Rattus norvegicus: one gene and its partners. The protein of the gene in region 1 interacts with the protein of each later gene in a pairwise test. Links are inferred from orthologs where the notes say so. Each region holds a gene or a part of one and is shown in the gene's direction. Other genes may lie near its edges.

Region 1 (5,239 bases):
GACTTACTATTGACTTCTTCTAATTTTTGGACTTTTTTTGTTTTGTTTTGTTTTTAGAGACAGGGTTTCTCTGTGTAGCCCTTGCTGTCCTAGAACTCACTCTGTAGACCAGACTGGTCTCGAAATCATAGAGCTCCGCCTGCCCCTGACTCCCAGGTGCTGGGATTAAAGTGTGTGCCGTCACTGCCTGGCAGGCATCATTGTTAATAGGAACATGAGTTTAAATCCATGAGTTAAAATCTGTGATTAATGAGGAAGGCATTATTAATGTAGTTGGAAGGTTCATGTCAACTCATTTATTCCAAGAGTCAGATACTTTGATAATAAAGATACAAAGATGGCCGGTTGTGGTGGCGCACACCGGTAGGATTTGCTGAAGGAGGCAGAGGCAGGAGGATCACGAGTTCGAGGCTAGCCTGGGCTACACATTTTAAAGGGGGTTGGGGATTTAGCTCAGTGGTAGAGCGCTTGCCTAGGAAGCGCAAGGCCCTGGGTTCGGTCCCCAGGTCCCCAGCTCCGAAGGAAAGAAAAAAAAAAGATACAAAGATAGCTAGGGTACTTCCCAATCTTAACGGCAGCCAGTACTCTGATGCTGCCCAGAGGGTCAGAAGAGCATAACAGGGGTGTCTAATAAGGAAGGGATGGCGTGTCTGGAGAGTAACTCTCAACCCGAGGCTGAAATTACTGAAAAACTAGACATGTGCAGCAGGCAAAGAAGTGCTTCATTCCTGTGGAACATGGAGTCTTAAGAGCCTTGCAGCTTGGGGAGTTCGAACAAGGCCAATCCAGGTCCAAACTTTAGGAGTGAGACTACAAGAGAAAGAACTGGTGTGAGTACCCAGTTTAGAAATCTCCCCACGATTAGGACTCGGGGAGCCCATTCCTCCTGAGATGTCAGATCTGCCTCAAGATCAAGTTCATCTCTTGAATAAATAGATGAAAAGATGAAAAGATATGGTTTCCCATATCTCCTGTTACAGGGAACATCAGTGGTGCTCACACGGCACAGGTCACAGAGGGCGTGGCTCAAAGGACGATCTTGGTACACTTAGAGACAGTCTGGGTGGATCCTTGGCCTCTGGCTTGGTGGGAATTCGGGGGAAAGCAGTGATGTGCCGCCTGGTAGTTGGCACATCCAGGTCTCAATTTCCCTACCCGCCAGCTCTGCAATAGCTCTGGGGTGCGCGAGGCCACCCGGAGGGGATGGGCTCTGTAGACTGCCGGGATGGAGATGCTGGCCCAGCCTGGAGACCAAGGAAGTGTGCGCGCGTGTCTGCGCATCTGCATGAAACAGTCTATTCAACACCCCACCCCTCTACCCAAAACTCCCCGGCTTCTATCACCCGGCAAGACCAGGCCCTGATACCCCAGCGCAGAGAGGTCCCCACGCACGGCTGACCCAGGGTGGGTTCTGCAGCCAGAACCAAGCCATCCTAGCACTCCTTGGGAGCATCTTCAAGATCCAGTAGCCCACGCCTGCTTTGCAGGCGCAGCAGACCTGAAGCTGCCTCGGGCGAGCCTGGGGCACTTGGGTGCTTGCTCTGAGACTCTTTTGCAGGTCCCCGATGGGTCTGGGAGCCGGCACTGGGGAGGGTTTCCGGGCGGCCGCAGGCGGGCACTCGCGTCAGGTGGCCAGGCCAGGCCCCGCCCTCTCGGCCCGCCCTCTCTCTTCGTTGCGCACCGGGCTCCCGGTCCCCGGCCCGGAGGCTGCGGCTTCTGCTCGGGAGGCGGCGGCAGCGACGGGAGCGGCCATGGAGGCAGGCGGCGGGGCCGGCGCGGGAGCCGCGGGCTGGAGCTGCCCTGGCCCAGGTCAGAGCCGCCTCTCCCTCAGCTCCCTATGCTCTTTCCCCCAACGTCTCTCCTTCCTTCTGACCCCCAGGTTCTCCTGGTACTGAGTCGGCTTCCTCCACCCTGGCCTCCACCGGATACCGGATACTGCTCTCCATCTTTCGACCTGGGATGTCTCTTCCCAGCGGTCACTCCCCAAGCGCTCCCCATCCAGTCTCTCCAGCCCAACAGTGCTTCCAGCTCACGAGGGGGGCGAGGGGATTGTCTCTAGAACCTGCACCCTTCTAGTTCATCAAAGCTCTTGACTACCGTGAGAGGGTGGGGTGGGCGAGGTCTGGTGAGGGAGAGGAGGGGAGGGGAGAGATTGAGGAAACGGCCTAGTTTAGAGCCCCCTCTCTTCTCTCCTGGTCCGGCCGCCCCTCCCTACTCTGCTTTGCTATAAAGGACCCTCCCAAAACCTTCTTTCCTAGTTCCCACCCTATCCCTCTTCTCCTTGTGCCCCAAGCTAAACACTCACCCTCTTCTGTCTGGGCGAGGGAGAGGAGCCGGAAACAGCCTGGAACAGGGGTGCTGATGTTAGGTAGCTCCGGGCTGGGGTCTTCTCCATAGGCAGAGCATGGGAGGTGGCTAAGGGAATAGAATCACAGAGCTGGGCAGAGTGAGTCAGGCTTCTCCAGTGTGATGACAAATTTCGGGGCTCCCATATAAGAACGCAGGTCCCTTTCTTTCCCCTCGAAACCTACAGTGCCTACTTTCTCCCTGCTCACAGGACCCACAGTAACTACTTTAGGCTCTTATGAGGTATCTGAGGGTTGTGAGAGGAAGAAAGGCCAACGCTGGGGGTCCCTGGAGCGCCGCGGGATGCAAGCTATGGAGGGTGAGTTTTCTGAAAAAGGCTTTTCCATCACTCCATAACTCCCTTCCTCCTTCCTTCCTGACCCCAGAGCTCTGAGCCAGGACAGGGCCCTTCCCTTACTTCATTTCAAGCCCCTCCTTCCTGGTGGCTGAGCTCCAAGCCTCCCCTGGGTTCAGGCATTGATGGAAGTTTGGGCTCATCCCTTTGGGGCTCCAATCACCCAGCTAACCAGGTTGTGTGTCCTGGGGGAGCCGCCAGACAGAAAGAGGTCCTGCTGAAGCCAGCCTGGAAACAGGCTTTCGGCAGGGGGCTTGTTCTTCTCCCTGCCTGTTGACCCAGATCCCAAGCTGTCTCTTATTTTAAAAGCCAGGACATGGACATGTGAACTGTCTTTTCGATGCCGCCACTGTCAACTCTGAACAGAGCTCTGCAGCTTTAGTAAGAAAGTGCTTAGGAGAGAGCTCGATGAAGCCTATTTCCCAGCAGCACTCCTGTGTAGCAGGGCAGGTGGTACCAACCCAGTATCCAGGTCTTCTTGTGAAGTGTCCCCAGGCCCCTGTATAGTTCAGCACAGGCCTTCCCTAGAGACTTAGATCGCATAAGGGATCTCAGATTAACTGTGTGCTGTTGGCATTAGAAAAGGGAAGACCAGACATCTAGAATTTAAAAACAAAGCAATCCCTACCAAGACAAGATGTTGCTATTTACAGGAACTGCATTGCAGTTAAAAAAAAAAAAGTGTTCACGAGCCTGAACATGAAGACCAGTATCAGTTTTTCAAATGTGTCAGCAGGAGTGGAGAGATGGCTTAGCAGTTGACCAGTTCCCAGCACCCACATCGCAGCCCACAGTTGTCTGTGACTCCAGTCTTAGAGGCTCTAATACTCTCTTCTGACCTGCAAGGGCGCTGCACTCACATGATGGACAGACACACACGCAGGGACAGACACACACACAGGCACCTGTATGCATTAAATAAATAAATGAGTAATTTAGAAGAATGTGTTAAGATGGCTGACTTTCTTTCATACACGAGTTCAGCCTGACACTTACTCTGAAAATCAACTTTGGTCAGCAGGCAAGGGATGAACCTTGTGGCACCCAACACGGAAACATCGGGTGTAGAAAATTTCAAGAAGATATTTGATAACATACATTTGAAAGGGTTCCACCAAGTCATTTCCGCCTAATGTTTCCTTTGCTACCTACAGGCCAGGCCGGTGTTTTCTTATTATGAAAAGGCTCTAATACCTTGCAAGCCACCTAGATTTTTTTTTTCCTCCCAAGCTTGCTCCATTTGGCCTAAATAAACAGCTGGTGTCTGAATGTCTGAATCCTTTCTAAACTCCTTGTCCCACTACTCAGAGTTGAGACGACCAGTGCTAGGTGTCCTCAAGCAAGCTTCTTGTAGCTGAGCCTGCATGAGGCTGCTGTAAAGGCAGTAGATAGTCAATATTAGGTGTCAGGAAGCTGGAAAAGGTGCATCCAAATTTGACCCACCAGAGCCTGACCATGAGTTAGGTCCTATCCCAGGGAACCTCGGGGGGGGGGGGGACACCAGGTGGCACTATTCTGCTGTCCAGGGCCTGGGGTTACCACTCCAGGTGCAGGGTTCTGGAACAGGTACTGACTGTGTGGTGGGATGATTGTCTCTCCTAGGGGAGGTGTTACTTCCAGCTCTGTATGAGGAGGAGGAGGAGGAAGAAGAGGAAGAAGAGGAAGAGGTTGAAGAAGAAGATCAAGTACAGAAAGAAGGCAGTTTGGGCTCCCTGTCAGTGGGCAAGCATCGGGGCCTGAGCCTCACAGAGACAGAGCTGGAGGAGCTGAGGGCTCAGGTGCTCCAGCTGGTGGCAGAGCTGGAGGAGACCCGTGAGCTTGCTGGGCAGCATGAGGATGACTGCCTGGAGCTTCAGGGTGAGCACCCGTGACAGGGCAGGGTCTTGGGCCCAAAGGGTGTGTGTATCCCCGGTTCCAAACCAGACGTTCCTCTCACTGCAGGGCTCCTGGAGGATGAGCGGCTGGCCAGTGCCCAGCAGGCCGAAGTATTCACCAAACAGATCCAGCAGCTCCAAGGTAACTGCCCCCCAAGTCTAGACAGAGGGGAAGTGGCCACGCTAGTCAAACAAACCTAACTCAGAACCTTACCTCTCTCCTTTTCTTTATTTCCTTGCCCCTTCTGTCTTAGTCAGGGTTTCTAGTCCTGCACAAACATCAGGACCAAGAAGTAAGTTGGGGAGGAAAGGGTTTATTCAGCTTACACTTCTGTGTTGCTGTTCATCACCAAAGGAAGTCAGGACCGGAACTTAAGCAGGTCAGGAAGCAGGAGCTGATACAGAGGCCATGGAGGGATGTTACTTACTGGCTTGCTTCCCCTGGTTTGCTCAGGTTGCTCTCTGATAGAACCCAAGACCACCAGCCCAGGGACGGCACCACCCACAATGGGCTGGGTCCGCCCCACTTGATCACTAGTTGAGAAAATGCCTTACAGCTGGGTCTCATGGAGGCATTTCCTCAACTGAGGCTCCTTTCTCTGTGATAACCCCAGCTTGTGTCAAGCTGACACACAGAACCAGCCAGTATACCTTCTCTTCTCCT
Region 2 (5,209 bases), on another chromosome or scaffold:
TCTGAGCTGACAGGTGTTGCTCCTGGGCTAGGGAAATGAGGATGGATACCAGCCTGGAGGGAGAGAGGGAGGAGAGAGCTGGAAGTCAGAGCCCTGGGTTCAGAGGAAGAAGAACATGGGATAGTTTGACTTCCTAAGACTAAGCGAAAGGTGGCTCAGAGATCTGGGCCCTGCCCCCAAAGGGGGCCAAAGCTCCAAGATAGGAAATAAGGAAAAGCAAAGGATTGATTCTTGGTCTCAAATCTCCATCTCCTCACCTCTCCCCACCAGATCACACTCTTCTCCATCTACTCACCGGCTTCCCGAACCTTCCGAGCATCCACAGCAAATTTCTTTTTCCCCCTGGTACTCCTTGTGGGTCTGGCAATCTCTGCTGTCCCTGTGCTTTACAGTATCTTCCTGTAAGTATGAGAGACGTCTGTTTCTCTTTGCGTTCACCCACGGTATTCACTGTGGCCCTAATTGATTGAATCCAATGTGTCTCCTCCTACAGGATCCCACCTTCTAAGCTGTGTGGCCCATTCCAAGGGAAGTTGTCCATTTGGGCCCAGATCCCTGAGTCCATTGAGAGCCTCCCTCAGACTGCCCAGAATTTTCTCTACTTTCTGGGAACCCAGGCTTTTACTGTACCCCTTCTGATCGTCTCTAGGTGAGCGGTCAGAGTTTGAATGTGTGCGATTTAGTGTTTGAAAGAGAAAGGAGTAGGGTGCGGGGCACCTGAGTGTTAGAGAGGACTGGATGCCTATGTACAACAGAGGAGAAGTTGGGCTGGCCTGGATGCCTAGATCAAGAGCAGGAGAGTTGCAGTACGAATGCATAGGATCTAAGAAAAGACATCTGGGTTTGGACTCCTGGGTCTGAGGAAGAAGGGCTAGGGTATGGATTTATGGATTTGATGAAGGGGGAGGTGGTATGGAACCTGAACCTCTGGTTTAAGCAAAATCCCCAGACCCATCCAAAGGGTCTGTACTCTTGGGTCTGAGATGAGAGGATAAAGGGTGGCATTCAGAGTCTCAAGAAGGGTTTTAAGGGATTTGGGAATCCTGATAGTGATTTCTTTAATTTACTTATTCATTTAGTTTTATGTGTGTTGGTATTTGGACACATATGTCTGTGTGAAGTAACGAACTTGAGTTACAATCGTAAGCTGCCATGTGGCTGTTGGGTGCTGGGCGTTGAACCTGGGACCTTTGGAAGTGCATCTAATGTGCGGGTTACGAGCCATCTCTCCAGCCTCCTGATCCTGGTTTCTAAGGAGCCATATGATGAAGATGATTTCTAGAGTGATTTTCATTCCTGTTTTCTTTAGCATCCTGATGATGTATACAGTAGCCCTGGCTAACTGTTATGGACGCCTCATCTCTGAGCTCAAACGCCAGATAGAGACGGTGAGCTAGGCTGATTTCCCCAGGCAGGGCTCTCTCTATGAGAAGATGAAAGGGGAACACTGGTGAGGAGGTGTGCTTCACTTTCACTCTTTTTTTGCCCACAGGAAGTACAAAATAAAGTCTTCCTAGCCCAGCGAGCTGTAGCTCTGAGCTCAAGGAATGGAGTTTCCTGATTAGTCTGGCTGGACCTTCAGCCCCTCACACCCATCATAAACTTCATTGACTTCATATACCAAGCAGTGGGGCCCTCTCATCTCTGGAATCAAACCCCACGCCTTCTGCCACCGAATGCCACACTCTCAATTGAACCATGTTAATAAACAATAGCCAAGTCCATTAAGCGTTTTGAAACCCCGTTCTGGTGGCGTGGACGAGGTTTGGGGAGGGGCCAGGTCCATGACGGCTTGAAGGGCTTGGTTGTGTCTGCATAAAGGGATAGACAGGCAAGGCAGATCTTCGCCAGCCTCTTCCTGCAGCGACCGGTCAGGTTACAAATGCTTAGGATTGGCTGAGATGGAAAGCTTCTCAGCCAATCATCTCTAACAAAGGTTTAGGGGGGTGTGGCAATTGGCCCAGAACCAATGCACGGGCTAGGGTGGAACCATGGGGCGGGAGCATCCTCGAGCCAATCGGAAGTGCTGAAGAGTGGGCCTGACAGTCGGAGGTCGGCTTTGGAGCCATGAATATCTTACCCAAGAAGAGCTGGCACGTCCGGAACAAGGACAATGTCGCTCGCGTGCGACGCGACGAGGCCCAGGCCCGGGAGGAGGAGAAGGAGCGTGAGCGGAGGGTGCTGCTCGCTCAGCAAGAGGTAAGCCTGGGGCAGGCCCAGAAGCGCGGCCGGCCTGCCTATCACTTGGTGTCAGGTGCGGCTCGGTGTGTTTGGCGTGTTCGGCGATGTTTCTCTGAAAATCCTGTGCTAACTTCCATAAAACCTTCCTAGATTTCCCCACCGGCGTTGAAGGGGCCATAGGCTAGCACACAGGAAGAGTTGGACAAATATTCTGATTACTTTATAGGTTGCCCGCACAAGTTAATACTGATCACCCACTGTGTGTATGCTCCCTTCAGAGCTCTTGATTTGAGAAATTCCTCTTAGAACATTTTAGAGGGGTGCAGTCACCTTGCTTTGAGTGCCACGGCTTCAGCAAGAGAGCGAAGGACATCTGGAAGCATTATTTGAAACAGGGTCTCTGTTGCTGTACTGGAACTGGCTGTGTACACTAGGCTGGTCTCGAGCTCAGAGATCCGCTTGCCTGTGCCACCTGAACGCTGGTATTGAAGTACACTCACGCATTAACACAGACTTTAATAGTTACTCGATCAGTTTGGTTTACCCTTAAGTTCTTTGCCAATCTGATCATGAATTAGTGTGGGCCTTTAAAATTTTAAAAAAAAAAAAAAGGTGAAGCTTGTAATTACGCCCAGATACTAAGGCTACAGAGAGGGGAGTATTGTGAATTGGAGACTATCCTGAGCAATTCAGACTCTATCTGGAGTCGGTTTGTATTTGGAATGGTGACCTGGAGCCATGCCTTGGGTTCAGATCCTTTGTCCAGAAAGCAATGTTTGGCTACAAGTTTGGGAATATGCACATACTTGTGCTGGGGACTGAACTTCGAACTATACACACTAAGCAGGGGCTCTATAGCTGAACAAGCCACCTCTACCCTATTACTCCAGGCTGGAAAGTCTTCTGTTTTAGGCCAGAGGTCTTCTCCCACCTATCTCTGATAGCCCAGTTTACTGTTTAAAAACAATGGTTCTCCACCCAAAGTTAGAAGTGGTGTCTTTTTTGGCTCCCAATACCTCCATTCCCCCATCTCTTTTTTTCCTTTGATTTTTCAAGACAGGGTTTCTCTGTGTCGTTCTGGAACTAACTAACTCACTCTATAGAACAGGCTCACCTTGAATTCAGAAATCCCCCTGCCTCTGCCACCAGAGTGCTGGGATCAAAGATGTGTGCTACCACTGCCCTCCCTGCCCATGGACCCTTCTTATATCCTCAGCACTTCTGGACTCAGAATGTACTGCCTATAACCCTTCATAGGCCCGTACGGAATTCCTACGGAAGAAAGCCAGGGGCCGAAACTCACTGCCCGAGCTGGAAGCAGCAGACCAGGGAGCTCCATGTTCTGGCCCTGTGGACCTGTTTCGGGAGCTGCTGGAAGAAGGAAAAGGAGTGCCCAGAGGCAATAAAGAGCATGAGGAAGAGAAACGACAGGAAAAAGTAAGCTGGCCTCATTTGTTGGTGGAATCCTGGGGGGATGGGTGGGTGGGGTAGAGACTGGCTGTGACTGTTAGGATATGGTGATAGATGAGTGCATAGAAAATTTAGCAGTGAGAGGTATCACCTACAAGCTGGTTATTGCTATACAACACTTAAACTGGCTAAACCTTTTTCATGGGACTAAAGAAAGTCTTAAGCTATTTTATTTTGAGAGGAGATCACAACTACATAGACCAGGGTGCCTTCCAGTTTTTAATCCCCCTGTCTTGGCCCCCTGGGCCAAGTGTTGGGATCACAGGCACAAACCTCCAGACAGCAATTGTGCTTTTTAAACTATGACTTGTACTGTGGCTCTCCTACACCTCACCCAACTTTGAAGGTGCTGTCTCCCACTGAAAATCACTCCTCTGCTTGGCTTTTCTGTGGACTGTTCCCAAATTAAGCTTCTTCCATCTTCCATTACTGCACAGGCCACTGCATTCCTTTTCTTCCTCCTGCAAATAAGCTCCTGATGCTTTGCAAAGCTGGTTCCTGAACGTTCTTGTAATTTCCCTTGTTAAATGTCTGCCTACCAATCCGTCTCTAGAAACTCAGGCGCTGGGTTTTTCTATTGCCACACCTAGGGCTCCCAGAGGGACTGAAAAGACTATTTTGTTTTCTTGCCCCTGCAGGAGAGACAAGAGAAAGCACTAGGTATTCTGACATACTTGGGCCAAAGTGCAGCAGAGGCCCAAACTCAACCTCCCTGGTACCAGCTACCCCCAGGGCAAAAAGGCTGCCCTCCAGGCCCAAGCCCAGATGAGAAGATCAAAAATCGACTGGACCCCTTGAGGGAGATGCAGAAGCACCTGGGCAAGAAAAGGCACAGCAGCGAAAGCCATCCTTCCAGAGAGGAACGGCCTCCAAAACAACGGCCCAGAGAGTAAGAATAAACATGGCCCACAGTAGAGCAGAGTGAGACTTTGTGAAGATCTAGCACACCAGCCAGGGTACCACAGAAAGGCTAAACAGGTCAGGCAAGATGAAGTGGTTCTTGGTATGCTGTCTAGGGACCTCTGTGGAGACACTTAAGGATTCTAAGAACAGTAGCTTGTATACAGCATATATATATTTTTTAATGTGTATTTTAATGAGTACTTGTTACATGTCTATGTACCACGTAATTGCCGATGCCTTTAGACTAGAAGGCATTGGGGTCCCCTGAAACTGAATACAGTTGCATTGAGAATCACCATATAGGTTGCTGGGAATGAAACCCAAGTCGCAAAGAACAGCCAGTACTCTTAACCACTGAACCATCTCTCCAGCCCTTCAGTTTTTCCTTTGGGACAGGATATCACTATGTCACTCTGTCTGGCCTTTGCTTCCCAAGTGATCTTTGTGGCCCTCAGGTTTATGGTTTGTTTTTAGAGTTTCAATGTTACACTGGCTGTCCTAGATCTATGTAAAAACCAGGCTGGTCTCGTACTCAGAGATCCATCTCTGCCTCCTGCTTCGATTAGAATGTGGCCCAATCACATTCAGCTCTTCTTTTATTAAGAGCTTTTTATGAAACCTTCATTGCCACAGTAGAAGGCACCCTGACAGTAAA
Region 3 (5,374 bases), on another chromosome or scaffold:
CTTCTTTGTACAATAAGATAAAGGGAGCAGGCATAGCAATGGCGATTTGACAAGTCCTTGGTTTGATTATTAAATTTAATAATCAAATAATAAATAATCAAATAATTTAAATAAGATTCCATGTGGCCCAGGTTGGTCTTGAACTGGCTATGGAGCTGATGGACTTGAGGATCGTCTGATTACAGGTATGAACCTCCACACCCAGTTTTATGCAATGCCGGAAATAGACCCCAAGGCTTCCTGTATGCTAGTCAAGCATTCTACAGTTAAGATACACCCCCAGCCCATACGAGACTTCTGTCGTCCTATTTGGCCAGGAGTAAAATGGAGCAGCCAGGGTGGGAAACTGGGGGAGGCCACTATTCCAGGGATTTCCAGAAAGGCAGACTTGGGAGCAATAGACATAGAGTACTACACGTTATTCCTAGAGCATTTCTCATGCCCAAGAATGGGTGGCTCTTAAGTTTCTGTGGCTTCAGAGTGGTCCCTCCTGCATCTCCCTTTCTCAGGCCCTTCCACCATCTCCGTCCTTCCCCACCTTGGCTCTACTGGCCTCCCTCTATCATTCCCAGTTCATTCCCACTCCAGAGCCTTGACACTAGCTGTGCTCACCCTAAACATTTGTCCCACATAAGCAATGACTCCTTGTCTGCGCCCACCTTTCCCAAGCTTCCAGTCACTGCCCTTCCTTACTCAGCCTTTCTACAGTCATACATCACTGGTTGACATTTTCTTGTATGTCTTTTTATCTACTGTCACACACACACACTACACACACATGCACACCACACACACACACACACACACACACACACACACACACACACACACACACACACACACACTGAATGTGGATCCCCTGAGAACAGGGGTACTGTCTCTCTCTGTTGCTTTCCCATCATACGCCCACTTAGAACATGCCAGGAAATATACACATACATATTAGATATTGACTACATGAACAGATCCTAGGGCCAAAATGAACTCAAACTGCGTGTGGAATATGTCTGCCTACCTGTGATGTGTGTGACCTGAACCTCATCGCTCTTGACCGACCAAAGTTCCATGAGAAAGTAAACTGGGGTACAGGCCTAGTCTCACTGGCAGAGGCTGGTTTCCTCAGTTGGGGGACAGAGAATAATGCCAAACGACAGAATGGCCCAAGGCTCGAGCAGTAGCTAGTTCAGAGGTGCAGAGAAGGCCTTTGATCTACAAGCACCTAGATTGGCTTTGGGGTTCTGCCCAAGCCCACAGCTTCTCTTTGCGCACACTCTCATTGTGGCCAGGCACAGGCATGCACATTGGGGCTCTGCCTTTAGCACATGACAGTTCTCTGAAGGCTGCTTTAATGAACACCATCTCATTGAGGTCACGCGCAGCCAACACACACAGGAAAGCCAAAGTACAGAAGGGACTAGGATCAGAGTGGGCTAGGTACAAATCTATCCGCTGCCCTTTTCCTGGACTACATCCTGCTGGTTCTTCTGTGGAAATTAATTGTGTGAAGTTTGTTTGTTTGTTTGTTTGTTTGTTTGTTTGAGATAGGGTTTCTCTGTGTAGTCCTGGCTATCCTGGAACTCTCTCTCTCTGTAGACCATGCTGGCCTTGAACACAGAGATCTACCTCCTTCTGCCTCCCAAATGCTCTGGCTGTCCATGTGCCCAACACATTTGTAGATGACCACTTCACTTCACAATGTTTCTTACACCTAAGCCTGCAGGGCTGCCAAGAACTGTCTGGGTATAGTTCTCTCCCTGCTAGTATCCAAGAGCCAAGTTCTAAAGAATCCCTCACTGCAGCAGGAAGCGTGGTTCCCCTCCCCTCCTTTGGGGAAGTGCTGGAATTCCCTCCCATACAAACAAGGGAAATTCCTCCTCAGAAGCCAGGAGCCGCCTTGTTCAGAACAAAGCTTGGTGTGAGTCATATTCCTCATCAATCTGACAACACGGGTATTTATTGGTGCCTCTCAATCAGGGTGGCTTGGACATGGTGTTCTGAGTCTCGGACACGGCCACTCACCAAGTAAAATAACGGTTTCTATAGCAACAGTTCTTTTTCATTGCTATCAGAATAAATGGGAATGCAAAACTGCCTCCCATCTTGGGGGTTTAAGGCCCGCCCTTTGGGGGTGGCTGCCTCAGCCATCTGGGACTGGCTTAGCACTCCCTAAGTCTGAAACCTGCAGAGGACCTCGCAGCCCAGACACTGCCAAGGAGCTCACAGCCCCGGACCTGTAGAGAAGTAAGACTCTGATCTATTCTGCTTCACATCTGTTAGGCTGAGTGTGTTCTAGGAGAAGGTGGTGGGAAGGAGATGACCTAAGAGCATCGGAGCAAGCTGTCCCAGCAACTAAGCCCTTCAAAATGTAGGTACTGGGACCCTGCCTTACTGAGGTGAGAAGAGGCAGGGATGTGAAGTGGGGGTGGGAGATAGAGGGTTAAGTAGGCTCTCAGTTACAACCCGGCAGTCTGGTTGACCTTTTACTTCTAAACACTGAGAGGAATTTAACATCTGCTACAGCCTCTCTTAAATCCATCATCACACAGTAGGGGTATGTAGGGTCAGCAAGGAGGGTTCACTTAATAGAGGACAGATAGACACAATCGGCAGATAGTCCAGGTTCTATATGCAATGAGAAAAGCACAGAACTTGGATTTGGGTACCAAAGCTCAGCTCGGATTCTGGCTACCTCACACACTGGCTATGTGATCTGGAGAAATCAGACGACGTCTCTGAGGTCTGTTCCTAAGAAGGGGTTGCCCACCTTCTCAGTTTATTGAGAGTTTTGAGTCGGAAACTAGACGAATAGCTCATTACTCAGCCTGTACTGAGAATGCAGGCTATGGGTGATTCCCGCCTTGCCGATGGACTTGGCTTCATCACGTGGTACACGGCCAGTCTGGGACTAGAGAAATCAGGGATCCAGGGATCAGGGGATTGCCTGTCACTAGGAAGCTGCTATTAGTGGGATGGGCTCTAAATTTGAAACAGTCCTCCCACACACATGGGTTTCTGGGTGCTTGGGTCCTGATGGCTTCCTCACTGTGAAGTCTGGCAACCCCTGCTGTGATTTTTCCCTGAGCCAGCTGCCAGGTGCAACAGCTGTCATCAGATCACAAGGATAGCAGTATGGGACATCCACTCACGCTGCTTCCTGCTCAACAGCAGGGCACAATCCCCAGCCTTGCTATGGACCCTATAGGCCTCACCCTTCAAATCCAACCTTTCTTTTCTCTGGTGAAACGGATCCAGGGGACCAAGACCTGAAGTAGTCTGGAGCCTTCTTGCCTAAATGGATAGGTGGCTCCAAGACGAAGAAGATTGACCTGAGTCTGCAGGGAGACCTAGAGCTGTTGCCAAATGCGTTCTTAGGTTACTGGCCAGCCATTGAGCTACAAATGCATACCACCCACAGGGAGGAGAGAGCAAGCAGGACATGTGGCAGCCAGCTTGTCATTTTTCTGAATGTTTCTCCTTCTCTTGCCAGTGCTTCTCAAAGCCCCCCTGCTGATGCTGAACCAGAAAGGTTTAGAGGAACTGGGGGTTGAAACCTGGCCACAGGCCTGACAGGAAAAAGCTGCTTCAAGCAGCAGGGCAGTGCTTGCGTTTCTCACTGTCTGGTTCTCTGGCCATCATGTTCTCAGCCTTCCTCTTCACAGGGGTTTATTGAGTATACAGAGAGAGAGAGAGCAAAGGGCTGTAAATTGGTTCTGTTGAGTCAAAAACATGCCATTCCTAGGAGACAGTTCTATGGTAGAAAGAGTACTAGGTTTGGAGTCCAACAATCCTGGCTTTGCTAAGTACTTGGCGTGTACCTTAGCTTGATAAGCCCTGATTTCTTCAACTACAAAATGAGTTGCCTTCAAGATAATCATGAGAGTCAGACCAAGTCCCGTGCTCACTCCAAAACATGCAGGACAAGAAAGAGGTTCACAGTCTGCCTACTCAGCCAGGTAGTCTACAAACTACAGTGTGCACACCACAAGGTCTCACATTCTAATGACCTGAGGGGACGGGAGGTGGCCATGATCTCCACTGGTCAGAGGCTGAGAGCGCAGGAGCTGTTTGCTTGAGGCCACACAAGCTAAGATCATGTGTTACATTGTTTCTTTTGCTTTAATCCCTGAACACTTTGTGGACCCAGTGTCATGTGTTGTAACTGATAGACCAGAAACACAATAAGAACATTGAAGATAGAGGGAATGCAGTCAGAAAGTGACAAGAAGACCATAAGGATTCAGCCCAGTTGGTCAAGAACTTACCCAGCATGCACAAAGCCCTGAGATGGATCGATGATACCCCATAAATGGGACATGGTGGCTATGCCTATAGTGTTAGCCCTTGGGAGGTGGAAGCAGGCCAATCAAGAGTTCAAGGTCACCCTTGGCTATGTAACAAGTTTGAGGCCAACTGGGGATATGTGAAACCCTCCTAAAAAGGGGAGGGGGATGAAAGGATCTTGTGCAGTAACCAGGTTCCTGCAGCTGTTCTCAGTGTAAACTTCACCCTGTAGCAAGAGTATCATTCTCCTCCGGCTCTCTCCTCACTGCCCAGGAAAGACCAGGGATTGCTATCGAAGCTACTGTTCCCACCAGTCTGTGCACACCCAGAACCAGACTCAGTCTTTAGGAAGGAACCCTGGGACCTTTTGGGTTACCAACAGAACCTGTGAAGAATGAGAGGCCCCGGTCTCTCTTCTGTATTCTTATCCCTGTGACCCTTCGACCCTCTTAGAGACATACAGACCACTCATTTAGCCAAAACCTTCTGGTCCCAGAGCTCTGTGCCCAACAGAACCTCCTCAGTCACCATGATTCTCTGTAGGATTGAGTAGGGGGCCTACTTCTGTCCTTCTGCTCTGTCACAGGGCTCAGGCTGCTCTGGGAGGCAGGATTCGGGAAGTTTGACCCGTCAGGTGGGTGTTAGACTGTGGGAAGCTGCGGGACACTGCTCCAGGGTAGGGAAGCACCGTCTGAGGACAGGACGCTGCAGCCTTCAGTTCTTAGGCTCTTGGGCATCCAGGCACCGCTGGGATGCTGCAGAAACAGAGTGGGGGCCGATCTAGCCAGGGGCAGAGGGGGAAAAGGAGGGGGGATGCTCCAACTGGTCCTGCTGGGAAGTCTTTGGCTGTCCTGGGTATCAGGCTTGGGCTTGGTAGAGGGCTGAAGCTGGGAGGGCAGGAAAGTCTTCTATGGGAGATTAGGTGACTGGCTCTGTAGGCGAAGGGATTCTCAATGGCTTGCCACCGTGGATCCCATAAGAAGAGGTAGTCCATGGTTTCAAGGCATTTATTGTGATGGTGGATAGGGAATGAGAAAAATTGTACTCCACTTCTCAGAGTGGGCCTGGGATTAAATATCTTTTTCAGGGAAGA

What was found.
Region 2: the proteins of Ccdc136 (region 1) and Leng1 interact in binary tests that used the Homo sapiens proteins (3 or more experiments, as listed by UniProt). The two-hybrid records come from large-scale screens. The link is inferred for Rattus norvegicus from reciprocal best matches to the Homo sapiens genes CCDC136 and LENG1.
Region 3: the proteins of Ccdc136 (region 1) and Fam107a interact in binary tests that used the Homo sapiens proteins (3 or more experiments, as listed by UniProt). The two-hybrid records come from large-scale screens. The link is inferred for Rattus norvegicus from reciprocal best matches to the Homo sapiens genes CCDC136 and FAM107A.

The regions. Positions count from the first base shown.
Region 1 is NC_086022.1:58,961,542-58,966,780, forward strand, and holds the start of Ccdc136 (coiled-coil domain-containing protein 136), read left to right. Parts: upstream 1-1,654; 5' UTR 1,655-1,751; coding exon 1,752-1,809; intron 1,810-2,557; coding exon 2,558-2,665; intron 2,666-4,303; coding exon 4,304-4,558; intron 4,559-4,642; coding exon 4,643-4,717; intron 4,718-5,239. UniProt on the Homo sapiens protein: May play a role in acrosome formation in spermatogenesis and in fertilization.
Region 2 is NC_086019.1:74,465,316-74,470,524, forward strand, and holds the start of Leng1 (leukocyte receptor cluster member 1), read left to right. Parts: upstream 1-2,027; 5' UTR 2,028-2,067; coding exon 2,068-2,199; intron 2,200-3,438; coding exon 3,439-3,618; intron 3,619-4,289; coding exon 4,290-4,540; intron 4,541-5,209. Other genes in the region: Tmc4 (transmembrane channel-like protein 4), read left to right, coding at 271-401, 494-649, 1,310-1,388, 1,493-1,561.
Region 3 is NC_086033.1:19,044,389-19,049,762, forward strand, and holds the start of Fam107a (actin-associated protein FAM107A), read left to right. Parts: upstream 1-2,192; 5' UTR 2,193-2,241; exon of another isoform or gene 2,242-2,393; intron 2,394-5,374. UniProt on the Homo sapiens protein: Stress-inducible actin-binding protein that plays a role in synaptic and cognitive functions by modulating actin filamentous (F-actin) dynamics. Mediates polymerization of globular actin to F-actin. Also binds to, stabilizes and bundles F-actin.